Linked DNA regions of Saccharomyces cerevisiae S288C. Changing the gene in region 2 together with the main gene of any one other region gives a genetic interaction. Each region holds a gene or a part of one and is shown on either strand. Other genes may lie near its edges.

Evidence for each region.
Region 1: mutations in UTR2 (region 2) and BCH2 together harm fitness more than expected from each alone (negative genetic interaction), as found in Saccharomyces cerevisiae (2 studies listed by BioGRID).
Region 3: mutations in UTR2 (region 2) and YDR338C together harm fitness more than expected from each alone (negative genetic interaction), as found in Saccharomyces cerevisiae (2 studies listed by BioGRID).

Annotation. Positions count from the first base shown.
Region 1 is NC_001143.9:489,081-494,161, reverse strand, and holds BCH2 (Bch2p), read right to left. Parts: upstream 2,799-5,081; coding exon 501-2,798; downstream 1-500. Other genes in the region: GCN3 (translation initiation factor eIF2B subunit alpha), read left to right, coding at 4,507-5,081. UniProt on the Saccharomyces cerevisiae protein: Member of the CHS5-ARF1P-binding proteins (CHAPS) which mediates export of specific cargo proteins, including chitin synthase CHS3.
Region 2 is NC_001137.3:73,578-82,234, reverse strand, and holds UTR2 (chitin transglycosylase UTR2), read right to left. Parts: upstream 4,183-8,657; coding exon 2,779-4,182; downstream 1-2,778. Other genes in the region: RAD23 (Rad23p), read left to right, coding at 1-828; putative acireductone synthase UTR4, read right to left, coding at 1,090-1,773; CYC7 (cytochrome c), read left to right, coding at 2,258-2,599; YEF1 (NADH/NAD(+) kinase), read right to left, coding at 4,804-6,291; GDA1 (guanosine diphosphatase), read right to left, coding at 6,908-8,464. UniProt on the Saccharomyces cerevisiae protein: Dual chitinase/transglycosylase that plays a role in cell wall architecture. Chitinase and transglycosylase activities are coupled. Required for the polysaccharide cross-linking at the septa and the cell wall.
Region 3 is NC_001136.10:1,146,879-1,151,635, forward strand, and holds YDR338C (uncharacterized protein), read right to left. Parts: upstream 2,589-4,757; coding exon 501-2,588; downstream 1-500. Other genes in the region: mitochondrial 37S ribosomal protein uS15m MRPS28, read left to right, coding at 1-301; rRNA-processing protein FCF1, read right to left, coding at 3,073-3,642.

The DNA.
Region 1 (5,081 bases), on a different chromosome or scaffold from region 2:
AACAAAACAAAAGATGATAAAGAAAATGCTAAAGGTGAAAATACTTCAATGAGGTACCCTTCGTATCTTATAATACAAATAGAAAAAATGACAATTAACCGTACGAATTGCAAGGCAAATGCAACTCTTTATTCGTGAGCCGGCCTTTGCAAGAATAAAAAATTCTTGACTTGATAGAAAATCTATTACGAACAAACAATTGCCCGTCAAAAAAAAAGAAATAAAAGGTGAAATTACAATAGTAAATATCCAACACCTTTCTTATCTTTGATATGTCTTCGAATGGACAAGGAAAGAGCTGAAAAGGGTCTAGTATACCCTTGACGTATTGATGTTATTTTTACGCTGGTCATTTTTTACTCTGTCAAATCGTTGAAAAATTACTATTAGGATATTACCCGCGCTAAAGTATTAGCATTATCGCCGTAAATTTGTCCATTAAGAATACAGACACACACACACAGTATATATATATAGATTCATTAAATCAATTTGATCAGTTAGTCTGCCAGAGGTTTGATAGTGGAAGGAAGATCTGGAAGAGGGCGTTCATAGGCTAGGCAGGCTTCATTCCTATTTTTAGAGAGGCATTCAAGCATATAATCTATCACCGAAGTGATGCCAGCTTGCCCGTAAGGAGAATTAATTATTTTATTCTTAATAATTTCGGAGCCCAGCTGTCCCTCTAGTTTCCTTAGTACTTGAAGGGAAAATATCTGAAATCTATCATAGAATCGTATCCGAAAGGAGATCAATTTCACTAATAGATCTAAAATGATATCGACGTCAAACCTTCTCATAAACTCATCATTAAAATCCATGGTTAAATAAAAGTTCAACAGATGGTGACAACTAATAGGGTCAAACCTTGCCAAAATACTAGTTCGTAGACACGCTACTGCATCGGGTAAGTCACTCACTCGAAGCAGAGTTAAGCCAAGTAGTTCCCATTCCAACCCGCTGTATTTCGCCGTAGCCTTATTTTCTTGAGATGAAGTGCTAATACTTAAATCTTCGTAAACGTCCAGAAACATAGCATCAAACCATCTCTGACAGAGCCTCTTCTGGCGTAATTCTGTGGACAGCTTGTCCGAAGATTCTATCATTTTGAATTTACTCTCCATAACGAAAACGTCAGATCTTAGCTGAAGTAAGGCGTTCCAGCCGATTCTAGCGACTAATTCCATCAACAGAAGACGTACTTGCTTTATAAACCAACTCTCTTGTCTGGTTTCTTTGCTTCGTTTTAGTAACAGCATATCTCCTACTGTATTTACCTCCTGCTGAGATACAAAGTTTATGAGATTGTCACTCTGTGGTCCACAAATAGGTCCTAATTCAAGACAGGATTTATTCCATATCTCTTCAATACATCCATACTTAGATTCATTGGGCATTACAGTGCGTCCAAATATTATTGTCTTCAACTCCAACTCATTTTCATAATGCATAATATTCATGAGGTGATTTAACTCGTGTGATGTCATGGTACAGTGTTCTCTGCTATGACATAGTGGTGCCTTGTAGTAGTTCATATAAAACTTAAAAGCGTTAATCTGGGCTTGTTTAACGATATCATATTCCGCTAAACAGGGCATCGAATTGATTGAGAGCAGTGCCTTATCATACTGTTGTGAAAAAATATAGCCTTTAGATAACAGATACCAAGATTCAAAATTATCAGAAGATAAATTCGTGGCCAATGTGGAAATGGATAAAGAAAGTTCATAGTCGTTATTGTTCAATAGAAACCTTGCTTGGATGCTTAATACATCGGTGATGCAATTGATCAAATCAGAAATGTAAGGTTCATCGGATGGCAATCCATACAGTACGGGTAGTAATAGGTCTAATATCTCGTGTATCCGTTTGATCATTTCTACATCGCGGTCATTACTTCGCTCCATGATAGAAATAATTACAATAGCGTAATATCTAGAATTTGACGGGTCATTCGTCATCAAGTTGTCTAAAACCTGGATCGCATAGTCTGTTATGAATTCTGGAGTTATAGACAGAAATACTAATAATGATTCAGTTAGGTAGTTATTCAGTATCGTTGCATAGACGCTCTTTGTAGAATCCCAACCACATTCTAAAAATCTTGGCAAAAATTTGCATAACGAATCTATCACCCTTTTATAATCACTCGCGCATCTGTTCTCAAAAACAAATGGTAATTCCACTAGCCCAGGTATTTTTCTTTCAAAATCTGAATTAATAATTACGCTTCTTATGCAACAGCTAACGAAAGTTTCTTCCCAAATAAGATCACTCAACGGTATTTCATTGTTGCCATTTAAACAGTCAACGATATTAACTTGATAAACATCTTCAGATTCATATCTTAATCTAATGTCCAATTTTTGAAAGATATTGAAAGTGCAGTAGGTTGTGATGTCGTCGTTCTTCAAAGATGCTGATTTTAGTTTCTTACCATCATTCCATTTTATCAGCTTCAAAAATGCAATTGGCATAGAGACGCTCGAGGCGTCGATCCCCGTGATGTAAAAGAATTCACCTATTTTCTCATCGTGAAATTTATCTAACTCTGTACAATGAATCAAGTCTGGAGGACCAATACCAGATTTACCAGTGCTCACCAATTCACTTAAAAGGGACGTCCTAAAGATTAAACTTTCACCATGTACTTTTTCCAAAGTTCTTGGATAATCTATAGGAACGTTTTTACGTGTTGGTTTCACACGTTGCTGTGGAACAACACCTGACGGAAGAGAACCTGCAGCCTTTTTATTCTTGCCTTTCTTGGACTTTGTAGACCCCCATAAAAAACTCATATTCCTCGAGGCCAATTGATCTGTTAACTGTACTTTACTACTTATACTACTTGATATATATGCCCTTTCTTTGCACACAATGTCTCTTTATTGCCGTTTGTCATTTTGTTTTTTTTATTTTTATGTTGAATTTAGATACACCATTGTGCATACATCTTATTTTTCCCAAACGGTGTAACAATGCCTCGGAAACCTGATGACGAATTGCTAAAATAATACGGCATTGTACGGCACCAGGACTGGCAACGTAGCATTTCCAATATTATAATATTTTTACTCAATAACTGAAAAGATAATAAGAAAATTATAAAAGTAAAAAAATTCTTCCCCGCCAGGACTTGAACCTGGAATCTTCTGGTTCGTAGCCAGACGCCGTGACCATTGGGCCACGAGGAACAAGAATTATTAAGAGACATTAAAAATTGAGAACCCTAAGTATCAGCACTATTTATTGCATGATTTTTTACCTAATATAGTAGTTCAAATTACCAGACCCAACTAATCCTGCTCTAAGAAGTAAGAAATGTGTGAATTTTGAAATAATTGTTGGGTTCCATTGTGAATAAAAGCTATCATTGAGAAATGTTTGAATAATATGATAATTACTGGTGTTCCATTATTGTTGAAGGCTATGATACACAATATACTAAAAGTTCTCTTCGAGGATATTAGAAATGCGGAAGAAGGAATCGGTATTCATGAATAGTAATGTTATTGTCTCGTTTTTTTACTTTATATGCTTATTCTTTATCTTGTTACGTTATCAATGCTTGCATTTCAGCTTCTATTATATTTAATAACCGTTTCTCATTCTTAATGTCATCTTCTTACACTGTGTATGAGAACATACTGCTAATTTGTGTGCTAGTGCATAGATGGTAGTTAATTCTTATTCAGACAAAAAGTTTTAGTATCTGATCTGTTGTTAAACATGTTAGATAAGTATTTTTTGGAATAAAGATCCACTATCGTATATTGGCTAGCGGTCGTGACACTAATATGTTATTACATACTGCATAAATAGAATACACAAATCGTGAGGTACAGTCATCCAATGTTGTGGAAGTCGATACTCAAGACCTAAAGAAAAATAAAATTTCTGAATGAAAAACATAACGATAGTAAAAATGAGCGGTATGTTATGACATAGGAGATAGAAGAACAAAACTGATCTGATCAAATTATTTTAAGAATATTTTACTAGTATGTTTACTACATGACAATCTGCAGCAGTGCCAGCTACATGGTGATCTCTCCAAAACAGACCAAACAATTTGCGCTTGTATTGCTTTTCAAAATAAAACTAAACATATGTAATTGTGCTTACAAGAATTGCTAGCTATATCTTATGTTGGTAATAGATAACGATTAGTAATACCTTTTATGAGAAAGAATAAGGAGGCAATGCCATCATTTTCGCCACATTAAGAGTGCACGACTCTATCCAGGGAATTTGATACAACACAGCAACATTGTCGCCATATTTAAAGCTTTCTACATAGCATAATGTTTTTTTTTTTTTACAATAGATAAATTTCATCCGGAAGAAAAATGAAAAAAAAATGAAAAAATTGGTGAAGTTTATGGTGTAAAATGAGAATCATACTGCTCAAATAGTGACAAAGCCATCATTAATCATAGATTTCTTCATAGTAATTGATAGAAAGAATTTTAAAAGTCCTACGTATACCAGAAATCGAGAGGAAGGATGTCGGAGTTTAATATTACAGAAACTTATCTAAGGTTTTTAGAAGAAGATACTGAGATGACAATGCCGATTGCTGCCATTGAAGCATTGGTCACGCTATTAAGAATAAAAACACCAGAAACAGCGGCAGAAATGATTAATACAATAAAAAGCTCCACGGAAGAACTTATTAAATCCATTCCGAACTCAGTTTCCCTGAGAGCCGGTTGTGATATTTTCATGAGATTTGTCTTAAGAAATCTTCATTTATACGGTGATTGGGAAAACTGTAAACAACATTTGATTGAAAATGGCCAGCTTTTTGTATCGAGAGCCAAAAAATCGCGTAACAAGATTGCAGAAATAGGGGTGGATTTCATAGCTGATGATGATATCATCTTGGTACATGGTTATTCGAGAGCAGTATTTTCTTTATTAAATCATGCAGCAAATAAGTTTATTAGGTTCAGATGTGTGGTGACAGAATCAAGACCTAGCAAACAAGGGAACCAGCTATATACTTTACTTGAACAAAAGGGCATACCCGTGACTCTTATTGTCGATAGCGCGGTTGGAGCGGTAATCGATAAGGTTGA
Region 2 (8,657 bases):
CAAGAAGAACAAACCGCCACTACAGAACGTACTGAATCTGCCTCTACACCGGGATTCGTGGTGGGAACCGAGAGGAACGAGACCATCGAGAGAATCATGGAAATGGGCTACCAAAGAGAGGAAGTCGAACGAGCCTTGAGAGCAGCCTTTAATAATCCAGATAGAGCGGTGGAATATCTACTGATGGGTATTCCAGAAAATCTGCGTCAACCGGAACCACAGCAACAAACAGCCGCCGCAGCGGAACAACCATCGACAGCCGCCACCACTGCGGAACAACCGGCTGAAGACGACTTATTTGCACAAGCTGCCCAAGGCGGTAATGCTTCATCCGGTGCGCTTGGCACAACTGGAGGAGCTACAGATGCTGCGCAAGGTGGACCTCCAGGTTCCATTGGCCTCACTGTAGAAGATTTACTATCGTTGAGACAGGTCGTTTCAGGTAACCCAGAAGCTTTAGCCCCATTGTTGGAAAACATAAGTGCTAGATATCCTCAATTACGTGAACATATCATGGCAAACCCAGAAGTGTTTGTGTCCATGTTGCTAGAAGCCGTGGGTGACAATATGCAAGATGTTATGGAAGGTGCGGATGATATGGTGGAAGGAGAGGATATAGAAGTTACAGGAGAGGCTGCTGCTGCAGGACTGGGACAAGGTGAAGGTGAAGGTTCTTTCCAAGTTGACTATACCCCCGAAGACGATCAAGCTATTTCGCGCCTCTGTGAATTGGGCTTTGAAAGAGATCTTGTTATCCAGGTGTATTTTGCGTGCGATAAAAACGAAGAAGCTGCAGCAAATATTCTATTCAGCGATCATGCCGACTGAGATTGTAGTAATGTTATGGCTTGAAGTATCTTCACTTATTCTCGACAATGTTGCATGATTTTTGAGCCAAGGGAAAAAAAAAGCTTACGTAGAAATCAATAACGTATGTGTATTTATATATGCTAGAAGGGAAAGAAAAGAAAACAGAGAGATGGTAATATTAATCTCAATAATAATAATAATAATAATAATAACAATAATAATAATAATAACAACAACAAATAATGATTATACTGCTTTTAGCGCATATATACAGTTTTGTTAAAGAGTTTCAAAATTCTTGTATACCTGGTACTTTTGCCCATCGGGGACAGGTGCATTACCAGGTCGGGAAGCTAACCCAGTAGCTATTCCAACGCCGGCCGCTGCGTCCAATTCCAATGGATTATCGCTCAAGAACAGTACCTCGCTAGCCTTCGCACCGATATCCCGCAAGATGTTGGCGTAAGACTGTGTTTCGGTTTTCTTTCCAGAAGTGTTGATGTCGAAATAACCATCTATATAAGAATTCAAATCCAACGAATCATGCGCAGGCGCGTTGGGATCCTGAACATACCCGAACAGCAATTTCTGTGCCTTTACAGATCCACTAGAGTAGATAAACACACGCTTCTTCCTCTTGATAAAGTCAATAGCATCTGCATAAACGGGCGCCTTAATCTGCCCAGATTCGTATCCGTGAGCCCAGACGTAGCCTTGCAACTGTTTCAAGATTGGATCCTTCACATCCTTGGCCACCAACTCCAAAATATGCGCCTGCAACTGCTCCTTATTGTCGATGTGAAACTGCGACAGAATGTTGGAAACCGGGGAGTCCCTTGTATCCTGTTGAACCAATTGCGGCACTTTATTCGTGAAATAAGGGAATAAAGTCTCCTTCACGAACGAGATCGGGCACACTGTCCCTTCAATATCAAGCAAGTAAGTCGAGTAATTGTCTCCCATTTTTGGTATACGAGCTAGCAGGACCTTTTGCCCAATGACCATTCCATATTCATCCCACTCACCACCGTCATCGTTGGTATTATTATTATCATTCCGCTTGAAGAAAAAGAAACGAAAAAAGAAATGGATCAGCAGCCGGGTTATAGCGCCCCTTATTGAATTATTTTCCTTCGTGCCTTCTCTGAGAAGGGTCTGCAGTCCCCCGCCGAGGGGTCTTTTCCCACCTTCTCAAAGCTAATAGCGATAATAGCGAGGGCATTTATTCAAGTTCCAACTACTATAAGTGGCCGCAAGGGGCAAAGACAAAGGCACACAACATATATATATATCGTGTTGTGAAGCTCGAGAAGATTAGATCAGAATAGTTCTCTTTTTGTTGAGGTTGAAACAAAATCAAAGACTTATACAAGAAGATCACATACAAGCATTTATTCACATTACTTTAAGTAAACTTCAGTAAACTACATTACATCATAAACAAAACATGGCTAAAGAAAGTACGGGATTCAAACCAGGCTCTGCAAAAAAGGGTGCTACATTGTTTAAAACGAGGTGTCAGCAGTGTCATACAATAGAAGAGGGTGGTCCTAACAAAGTTGGACCTAATTTACATGGTATTTTTGGTAGACATTCAGGTCAGGTAAAGGGTTATTCTTACACAGATGCAAACATCAACAAGAACGTCAAATGGGATGAGGATAGTATGTCCGAGTACTTGACGAACCCAAAGAAATATATTCCTGGTACCAAGATGGCGTTTGCCGGGTTGAAGAAGGAAAAGGACAGAAACGATTTAATTACTTATATGACAAAGGCTGCCAAATAGGCTATGTCGTCGGAGGAGATATTTATTACTTTTATTATTCTAGTTTTTTACAGTTATTTATTAATTAATTATTTTTATATGCATGCGAATAAAAAGTCTATATTTAAGTTCTTTTATTTATTAATACATTTTTTTTTGAGAGTCCTGTGTAGCCTATTTGTTCTTAGATGCAGATCCTCCTATAAGACATAACCTAGGATGACACATAAAACAGTCAAACGCCAGTTTGCCGCTACGTTGGCACCTGCGTTATTACCGCTCATTGAGCTTGTACTGCTGGAGGCGCTTCCGCTTACAGAAGATGTTGTTTGAGTTTGGGAAGTGACGGAAGAGGATACGGAGGATACGACTTTATCTCCGTTCTTAGTAGCAGTAGAGGAAGAAGAAGAAGAAGAAGAAGATGATGATGATGATGATGAAGCGGTGGAACTAGTCTTACTACTCTTCTTAGTTGAACTGCTGTGATCGGATGACGTTTTGGAGGAAGAGGTTGCAGTTGAGGAAGAACTCTTTTGGGTGGAAGATGTGGTAGCTCCCTTATGTGGGTCCAAGCCAGATCCCTCATCACTGTCCATCATGACCTCATCATCGGTAATAGCAATGTCTTTGGCCAAAAATTCACTGGACGAAGTATACACATAAGCAGAAGTACCATTCTTCTTGGTATCGCTTGGTGGATCATAACATGTGATATTAACTTCATTGACAATAGCATAATAATATCCTGGGTTGCTGATATCGGATGCGTCCCAATTAATTTCACCACCAGACCATGCAATGGTTCCTGGAGCGTTGGTAGAATTACCACCTGGCCAAATGGAAATATCCACCTTGGATGGGGTTTGTGGGTATTGATATTTTTGGGTGGTGGCGTTATAAGTTTCGTTCTTGTACAAGGTTCTACCGACGACACCATCGATGGACCATGTTACATAATCTTCGTGCCAATCTAATTCGTAAGTATGGTAGTTTTCAAATGTATCAGTAGTGGAAATATTGGCAGAATTCGTGTAGTTCAAAACACTTTCCCAATAGAAATTGGTTTGAGCAGTTTCTAGATCAGCACCGACGAATTCGTAATCAAGTTCATCACCTGCGCCGGAATACAGAATGAACCCAGTGACCACACCAGCAAGATGTGACGTCTTTATTCTAGCACTGACCTTACCATACCAAACAGCCCTCGTGGAGGAAAGAACGGTACCACCACTGTTCTTGGGCATCGCCAAAATTAAACTTTCTTCATCATCATAATCCAAAACGTCACCAGTATACAACCAATCAGCCTCACTAACATTTCCTAAGAAAGTGTTAGCATTCCCCAACTTAGAGGAATAATCTTTGAATTTAGTGGATGAACTCTTGCAGATAGGTACAGGCATACATGAATCATGACTAAACGAATATCTTACATCACAGTTGTTCAGACAATATTGACCAGTACCACATTCACCATATTGTGAGCAACATGGTTTATCTTCGGGACATGCTTGAGTTGCATTGCAAAATGTAGCGGCCTCTACACGTACCACGAAGGAAAAAATACTGACTAAACAAATTAGCCAACTATTAACGATTGCCATTATTAATTATATAATTAGCTTATTTGCAGGACAATAAATAGAAGTTTTACAAAGGGAACAGGGTCCAACAGAAACCATAATCACCAGGAATGTTGTTCTTTTTATACCTCAGGCATGTTTTAAAAGCCTCTTCTGCAGTTTTAATTTGGAAACTATCCACCTTGAAGATTCCCACTAAATCTTCGAAGGACGACGATTTTCTTCGAGGTTGAAAAAAGTTTTTCAAGAATTTTCGCGCTTCTTCCTAATCGGGAATTTATCTGTCATAATTATAATTCCCTATTTGGGAATTGGAACGAAATATATGCTACTATTTTAAAAATTATTCTGCACCATTCCGGAAATAACCTTCCGGTGACTGCAAGTTAGGCAACCTTATCATATGGTTAACTAGCATAATTACAAACGCGCATGAGGAAATTTAGCGAAACTACCTGCCAAATGCGGCGCTCTGGTTCAACTGTTTCATTTCTCCATTTTGTATAGCTCTACTGGATCTTCTTCGACACTGCAAACGACGCAAGAGCATTCTTGAAGTAAAAGAGGTAAATACAAAGCTGTTTACAGGCTCATCATCCATTATGAACCCTTGACTACGGAAACGCAGGATGTGGGAAATCGTTAGATTGCAAAATGAGCCTGACGAGTCCGTTCAACAACTATTTCTGTTTCTGTTTCCGTTACGGATTTCCTCTCCTCATCTTGTGCATCTGAGCTTATGCATGAACTCTCGAGGGGATTACTTATGGTGTCGTTTCCATTTTTCGATGAGTCTAATCTATATTTTTCTTGATTTTTTGGCGAGAGAATATGTGCAAATGGCTTCTGCTCTTCGCGGTCATTCCAATTAAGATTTTTACTGATACTTTCAAAAAATTCACTGGCAGATGACTCGATAGTCGGTACCGAATAGGGGCTTGCAGTTATCACAACATAGTCACCCTGTTTCAATTCAACTCTATCTTTTCCGTCAAAATTCACCCACGACGTCCCTCTTGAGTTCATATCTACTCTAACTTTTAATTCCATGCTATCTGGTAAAATTATAGGCCTAAAGCTCAAAGTATGAGGACATATAGGCGTCACCGCTATGGCATTTACGCTTGGCGATATTAAAGAGCCTCCTGCACTCAATGAGTATGCCGTGGATCCCGTAGGCGTGGCAACAATCAATCCATCTCCCTGAACCTTAGTCATTAGTGAGTCGTTTCCATAGAGTTCTAATAGGGATAAACAAGGAGCTGGACCTCTATCTATGGTTACTTCGTTCAATACGTGATGTTCGGAGATGAAATCGATGTAACATATTTTTCTCCCAGTTGCGGCATCAATTTCTGGTTTATTTCTACGGTAGAGTTTGCATTGCAACCTCATTCGTAAATTAATACGAACCTCATCTGTTAAGATATGTTTCAACGTTTCTTTGAAATTTTGAAATTCAAAATTTGTTAGAAATCCTAATGATCCAAGGGCAAATGGAACAATCGGCGGAACATCTTTCGTGAATATAGATGAAGCAAAAAGGACAGTTCCATCACCCCCTAGTGTAATCATCAAGTCAAAGAATGAATCGTGTTTTTTAACAAATTCTTTTGACCAATACTTTACTCTGTTTTTACTGCAATTGCTGTCTTTGCAGAGGTCACCAACAGCAAACTGAGTTGACTTTTTAAAAATATCTTGTACATATACAGTTATTGAATGGAAATTGCGTAAGATCCATTCCACCACTTCTCTCATGAGAAATACAGTGGAAATATCATTAATATTGCAGATTATTATCAGGTTTTCAACCTGCAAGTCAACCTTAGCATTTATAAGATCCTTTCTCAAACGCCTTACATCGTATGCAGTATCAACATAAAATGGGTATAAATTACTCGTGTCCTCACCGACAATTGTTTCGCTCGATAATCTTCTGACCCAGTTTTTTGCATCATGATAACCGCACCTCATTAAGCCCGGTTCTTCGAAGTTGCTTAATACCTTGCCTTCCGCTAAAACTTTAACTGATGTCATTCTGTCAATAGTATCCATAGTATCCATCTCAGCATCTCCCTTGGTACATGTCTCCGGGGAAGCGTTAATCAGTAATCTATCAGTTTTCATATTCTCTTTTAGTAAAAAATGTCACGTAAGCAGATTTATTGAGATTGCACTATTTCCATTTCCCTTTCACAACGCTATAGAAGTGAGATGAATACACTAACCTGATTGTAGGTTTATTTATATATATAATATCAATAGCTAGCAGTTTATTAAACGACCTGAAATGCAGTTTCTTCGATCACCAGATAAGTCCGATTATCCTTTTGTTTTCGATTTTCTTGAGGACCGGTGTGATATCCACAATCACCCTAAAACTAAAACAAAGCCATATAGTCTTAAAACAACGGAACAATCCATAACAAAAGTATATTAAATTATCTCATATGTTCAAGATTATGAGGTCCTAACAGATAACTCTTCCAGTTCATACTCAAACACCTGAAGGCGTGGCGGGCTTTTACCAAAAATGGATAAACCTCGGAAGGCCTTTTCAATCCCCTGTCTTGGCGGCGGTGTTATAATAAACTATTGTGGGGATAATAGTGATTTTCATAACGTAAAAATCGTTTACATATTGTTCAAGGGTTATAGAATAGGACATATAACAGAATACATATCACCGCAATCTCCTCTTCCTTAATATACATGGGACGAAAAGCGGTGTCCATGTTCTTATTCAAGCTGATTGAATTTTACATTTCCAGTTATCAGCTTTCAACAATGGTAATGACGCACCTAAACACCAACCGATTTCTTTATTGGCAATTTTCTTTCCAGTTCTCAATTCTCTTTGTAATGGAATGTCATATCCCGTATGTAATAAGGACACTTGAAAAGATAAGTCCAAACAGAAGTGCGAGTCACTTTCCAATTCATCTAGGGACCCCGCAATGCCACTGAAGACACTATTCCAAGTTTCTTCGCCTTTACACACTATTCTTGCCAAATCGTTCAATTCATTCAAAGTAAAGGACAAGGGCATACCCAATGGACGGGTTCTGTCGTAGAAATAAGAGAAAATATAGATATCGTTCGATTCTTTGAATGTACGAACTAAAGAAGGTTGGTGAACCCCATTGAAAGAGCATGGTGGAGACTGGCACTGAGCATCTTTATTCAAAATTTCATCAGTCAGAAATCTACATTGTGCACCACTTGGCTCGTCCGGCCCTATAAAGTCAATGGTATAAGTTTCCTTGGATTCTAATGTAACCTTTTCATTTGTGGCATTAACTTTAGGCGGTAGGCATGGAGATGACAATTGATGAGTCTTAGTGTTATCACCCTTCAATATTTTGCCGTCTTTTAATGCATTTTCCACAAGAACAGAGTTAACTTTATTTCTTCCTTCCTTCAAACCGTAACCTAGATGAGAAAATTGGTACAAGGTGTAATTTTCATCACCAAACTTCAAATCAAATTTATGCTCACCATCGACCATTTTTTCATTTATTGGGAAAGTAGGCTCAAAAACAATTTGTGTAGACCCTCCGCCTAAGTCAAAAACGGCAGCAGTAGGTAACTTGGGGCCATTAGCACCGATATTACCTAATAGGTAGTTTGTAGTAATCCAGGCGAAGACACCTTCTTCATCACCGCCCATGATGGAAACACCATCACCTTCGACAACTGGGAAAGGATAGTCCTTCTCCAAATGATCCCTTACAGCGCTCAAAATTTTTGAAGATTTGGCATCACCCAAGAGTCTTAGGCCTGCAGTAGCTTTCACCGCAACGGGAGTACAACTTCTTGCCTTAATAGGGACATAGTTCATTGCTACTTTCAGTAATGGGTCAAGGGAGTTAGCGGCACCAACGGAATCGGTATCGAAAGAAGATAAACCAGGCTCTAACATGTCGAATTTTTCATCAAGTAATGTAGGTGGGGAAGTACAGACGTCAAACTTGTATATATGTACTCGGGAACCGGTAGAGCCGGCATCGATCATGATAACATACTTATGTTCTTCGCTGCATGTTTGACTTGTTTGTGACTTCACAGCATCGGCAAGCTCAGGATAGTTTTGTTCAGTCTTCGAATCTTGAAGGTAACCTGGTTCATCATTGACGGGCAAGATAGAGATGTCCTCCGGAGTTTTGGGAATACTAGCATTAGGAGTAACTGTACGTGCAATAGAAGGTGGACCGATGGAAGATGTTTTAATCAACAAAATGAGCATAATAACGGCAAAAGCACCGATAGCGAACCGGTAATTTCTAAAGATGGGCGCCATGTTTTTTGTGCGATGATGTCTTAATGTTTCTTCTCGAGAGGACCCTTAACTGTTCGCCAATAAAGATTGTTGATTGCAGTCCTTGCCCTTTTTATTAGTGCTTTCTCCTTAAAACCAAAATTAAATAAGCTTGTAAAAGAAACTGTTTTTATATTTGGAAAATCGAAGCACTATGCAAGGAATATTATTAATG
Region 3 (4,757 bases), on a different chromosome or scaffold from region 2:
TATGGCAAACCATATTAAAGAGCATCGTAAGGATTTTGCTAACACCAGAAATTTGAGGATATTAGTCCAGCAAAGGCAGGCAATATTAAGATATTTGAAAAGAGATAATCCTGAAAAATACTACTGGACTATTCAAAAACTAGGATTGAATGATGCGGCCATAACGGATGAATTCAATATGGACAGGCGTTACATGCAAGATTATGAATTTTTTGGTGATAAAATATTGATAAGAGATTCTAAGAAAGTGGCAAATCAAAAGCGTAAGGAGATAAGAAAACAAAAAAGGGCTACATTTTAGAATAATTTGAATCATATGTAGAAAAGCTTGTAAATAAGAAACCGTCATATTCTTTTTTTTTTTTTGACCGCGTATGAATCAGTAATTTATTTCATTTTGAATTACATCATTATAAAAAGTTCTTAGTAATATATGCATTGGGTATACAATCACGTGTACTATCAAATAAAGAAATGAAAATACGGATATACCTCTGTAATTAAGCCCCTAAGAGGGCTGTGTTTTCATCAGGATCGTCTGAGTCTGTTAAATACTCATCGCTATCTACTTCATCATCTTCGGTTTCTTTCAAAATCTCAGCATAGGTCATAATTTTGTCCCAATCGGGAAATAATACGTAATAAGCCTCAACTAGCCCAATTAAAAGCATGGCACTTCCAATACCAATCCAAAGACCATACAATTTCATGTCAAAGAACCAACTTAGGATGAGAGCCAGGGGAATTCCAAATAGATAGTAAGCCATTAAATTTACTATACTTCCTAGAGATTGCATGCCTTGACCCCTGAGGCAAGACCCAGCAACGGCATTAAGCGAGTCGAAATTTTGCACAATACCCACCAAGGGCAATACTTGCGCAATTAATTTGATGACTTCGGGATCTTTTGAGTAAATGTTGGCGATTAGATTACGTCCAAATACTAGTATGCAGCAATTGATGAACCCCGCAATAAACGAAAATGACAACCCAACTTGAGAAGAGATGTGCGCGAAATCGGTTCTTTTTGCACCAATGAAGTTCGCAATTCTCGTAGAGGTAGATATACCTATTGCAAATGGGATCATATAGAGCAATGCAGCCATAGTAGATACTGCCGACTGAGCTGCTAGATAACTGACACCGTAATATGCACTAAATAACGTCAATAGTTCATATGACAGCTCTTCCGCCTCCAACATAATAATACCTGAGAAGGCTAAATGCCCTAAATCATTCCAATGGGTGAAAGCCTTCCTTGAGAATCCACCCCAGCATTTTCTTCCATCAATATACAATGCATAAAACAATAGTAAGAAAAACATTAGCCAGAAGTTAAGCACAACGGCAATTGCAGCCCCAATAAATCCAACACCAATGTACTTGTTCCAAACGAGAGTGTAACTGACTAATACGTTTAAGGGAGCACATATTGTCAAAACGTAGATGCCTGCATCGAAAATACCTTGGGCTTGTAAAAATCGTTTTAAATTTTCAAAAAAAATATACGCTGGCGCTCCCAATATTAGTACTCTTAAAAATCGTGACGTTAGGTTGATTAATTCTTTCTCAGGGATGATATAAGAAAGAAGAGGTTCAGAATACCACCACATGACAGCAAAAGGTATATATATGACCAATGAAAAAGCAATGCAACGTTGAAGGTGAACTCCTACACTGTAGAATCTCCCAGAGCCATACGCTTGAGGGCATAGAGTATCTAGACTAGTGGCAATACCCTCGAATATCGCTAGTGTTATATTAGAAGTCATGGATGCTAAGGACACAGCTGCTAGTTCATTTTTGCCTAAGTGGCCCACAGTTAATGAACATACCATAGGGAAAATCTGTTCCAATAAGAATGTGAAAATTAGAGGGAAGGAATAAGATGCCAAAACTCTTGCTTCTGATTTGAAGGTGACGTGGCTGTGAGCCAATTCTGCTAGTGCCTCAGAATCGTTCTCGTCGATCTCTTGGTAAATTGTGGGAACTGAGCCTCGGCTAGTCACAGATACGAATGATGGTCTTCTGTGATGTGAGGTGCCTTTAGCGTCTGTTACCGCACTTCGAGTTAATTTCTGTTTCTGAGCTTGGAGTCTATTCATAAATTCGTCATATTCTAGTTCTCTTCCAGAATATTCTTGTATTCTATCTGGTGTGTTGCTTTGACTTGCTTCCTCATTATCAGAGTTGCATACCGATGAGTATCGTCGTTCATGTTCATGTAGAATCCAATCAACATCTTGTGGCGAAAGCTCAGGAGTTTCTGATACCCTTGATGGTAGAGAAATCGTTCTGCTCAGTTCGCCATCTTCTTCATCATGATAGTAAAGGTCAGGTTCCTCATCAATATTACCTAAGTACGGATTTGGTTCATGGACGTTACTTCCAAAATCATCTGTTAAAGATCTGAAACTCCTCTGATCAATATTTCTCGTTCTTGCACGAAATTTTCGTACCAGAGGATTCTTCTTGTTGGGAGGTAGGAAGCCTAGCGATATCCTCCTGTGAGTGTTACCGATACCCATACCATTTGTTCGGAGGGAAGGATGCACTTCTGAAAGAGTCTTTGACAAAATTCCAGCCATTTTTTCAACCTTTTTTTTATCCGTATATATTAAGGTATGCTATATGTGTATTTTCCAATGTTTAGTTTTTATAATAATACTTCTTCAGCATCAAATATGCTTGCTTATGTAAAAATACAATCAAGTTTTGTCCCTTGCTTGCGCGAAGATGAAAACTTCCTTAAGAAATATTCTGCATCGCGTGGAACCCATGGAAGAGGATAATAGCTGACAGTGATATTATGAAAAGATGCCAAATGGTTACCGTTTATAACTGTTACTGGTCGCGTCTCAAACGCCCTCTTTTTTCTCCTTGCATTTGCGTTTCTTTAGAGCAATTATTGAGTAAATGGTCTTGAAAAGAAATAGAAATATCCTTAGGCATTTCAGTTCATCTGAAAACATGCTCCAATACGGGCAAACCATGAACTTGTTGTTATGAAATTAATATACATATAAACCAAAAACATTGCACTACATACTTAAAGAGTGAATACACAGTAGTTTAAAAGACATCTGGCAATTTTTCAATGACGTATGCGTGACCGCCTACGCTCATCAAAGGAATTCCAGGGATTTTTCTAATTCTTTGTTTCAGGCCGGCATCGTTTGTAGCTACGATGTAACACTTATGTTGTAAGACTCGATGCACTAAACAGTCATCCGCGTACGTACCCTTGTGCGAACAGCTTAGTCTCTTTATTCTAGGATCTCGAGCCAGTTTCAAGGCGATACGGTACTTGGGGCCCAATTTTTCTAACTCTGCCATCACACAATCTGTGATTAACGGGTTACATTTTGCGAGTAGACAGTCCATCATTCCTCTAACAATATCGACTTTTTTCTGGATAGAAAAATTTATAAAATTGGTATCTATCAGTACTTGATAAGGTGGCTTTATAGCTTGATTGTATTGAAAGAAAAGTGCACTTGATACTTGTGGTATATTCCTGGTTAGCTCAGGGTCTTCTTTAGTTTTGATATTTTCCTGGTTTTTCTTCAATCTTTGGTCTTTCTTGGTGTTCAAAGTTCTTTTTACGAGGCCAAACTTTCTTGTTTTCTTAGCTTTACCCATAATTAACTGTTGTAGTATATCGATATTTCCGTTACAAGTCACTGTTATTGTGTGTTAATGCACAGTAATGTTTAAAGAGGCATCATTCAAGAATAGTAGCAAGCTGAAAAATTTTAGCCGTTCATAATGATACCTTTAGAAATATGCCAAATTTTTTTGTTATATCTTCCAGTAGGAACCGATAGTTTGAGTAATGTTTATAAAATCATTGCAAGTGAATAAGCAATTAATGGCAATAGTCCACAAACGATAGGTACATGAAGGTGGCTCACAATCAAAAAAATCAAGCTTTAAAATAGTGGATGTAGAAAAAATAAAGTGCGTCACAGACAGGATTCGAACCTGCGCAGGTAAAACCCAATGCCTAATTGCTTTTCTGAGGAAATAGCAGGCATCGCCTTAACCACTCGGCCACTGGGACTGAAACACTTTGAAGTGAAAGTGTTTCTAGTTTTCTATATCATTACTATGGTGAAAATCTATATTTTCTTGATTAGGAATAAAATCATGGAAAGAAGTGTTGGAATAAAAATTCACTATCGTCTGTCAACTAATAGTTATAGTATCAATATACTATCATATACGGTGTTAGATTATGACATAAGTTATGAGAAGCTGTCATCGAAGTTAGGGGAAGCTGAAGTGCAAGGATTGATAATGTAATAGGATAATGAAACATATAAAACGGAATGAGGAATAATCGTAATATTAGTGTATAGAAATATAGATTCCATTTTGGGATTCCTATATCCTCGAGGAGAATTTCTAGTATATTCTGTATACCTAATATTATAGCCTTTATCGACAATGGAATCCCAACAATTATCTCAAAATTCACCCAATTCTCAATTTGATAATTGTTGGGATTCCATTGTAAAGAAAATCGGTATTTCTACATTATAATATTACGATTATTTCTCCTTTTGTTTTTTATGGTTTTCATTACCCTATCACATTATCAATCTTTATATTTCAGATTCCATTAAATTTGATAACTTGGTTGATAGATGACAGTTAATTCTTTTTCCAATAGAAACAACGAAGACTTTTTTCTTACTTTTTGTTGATGTTTTTCAAGTTCTGTTTGACCCGTATTTTTCTACGTTAAAATCGTG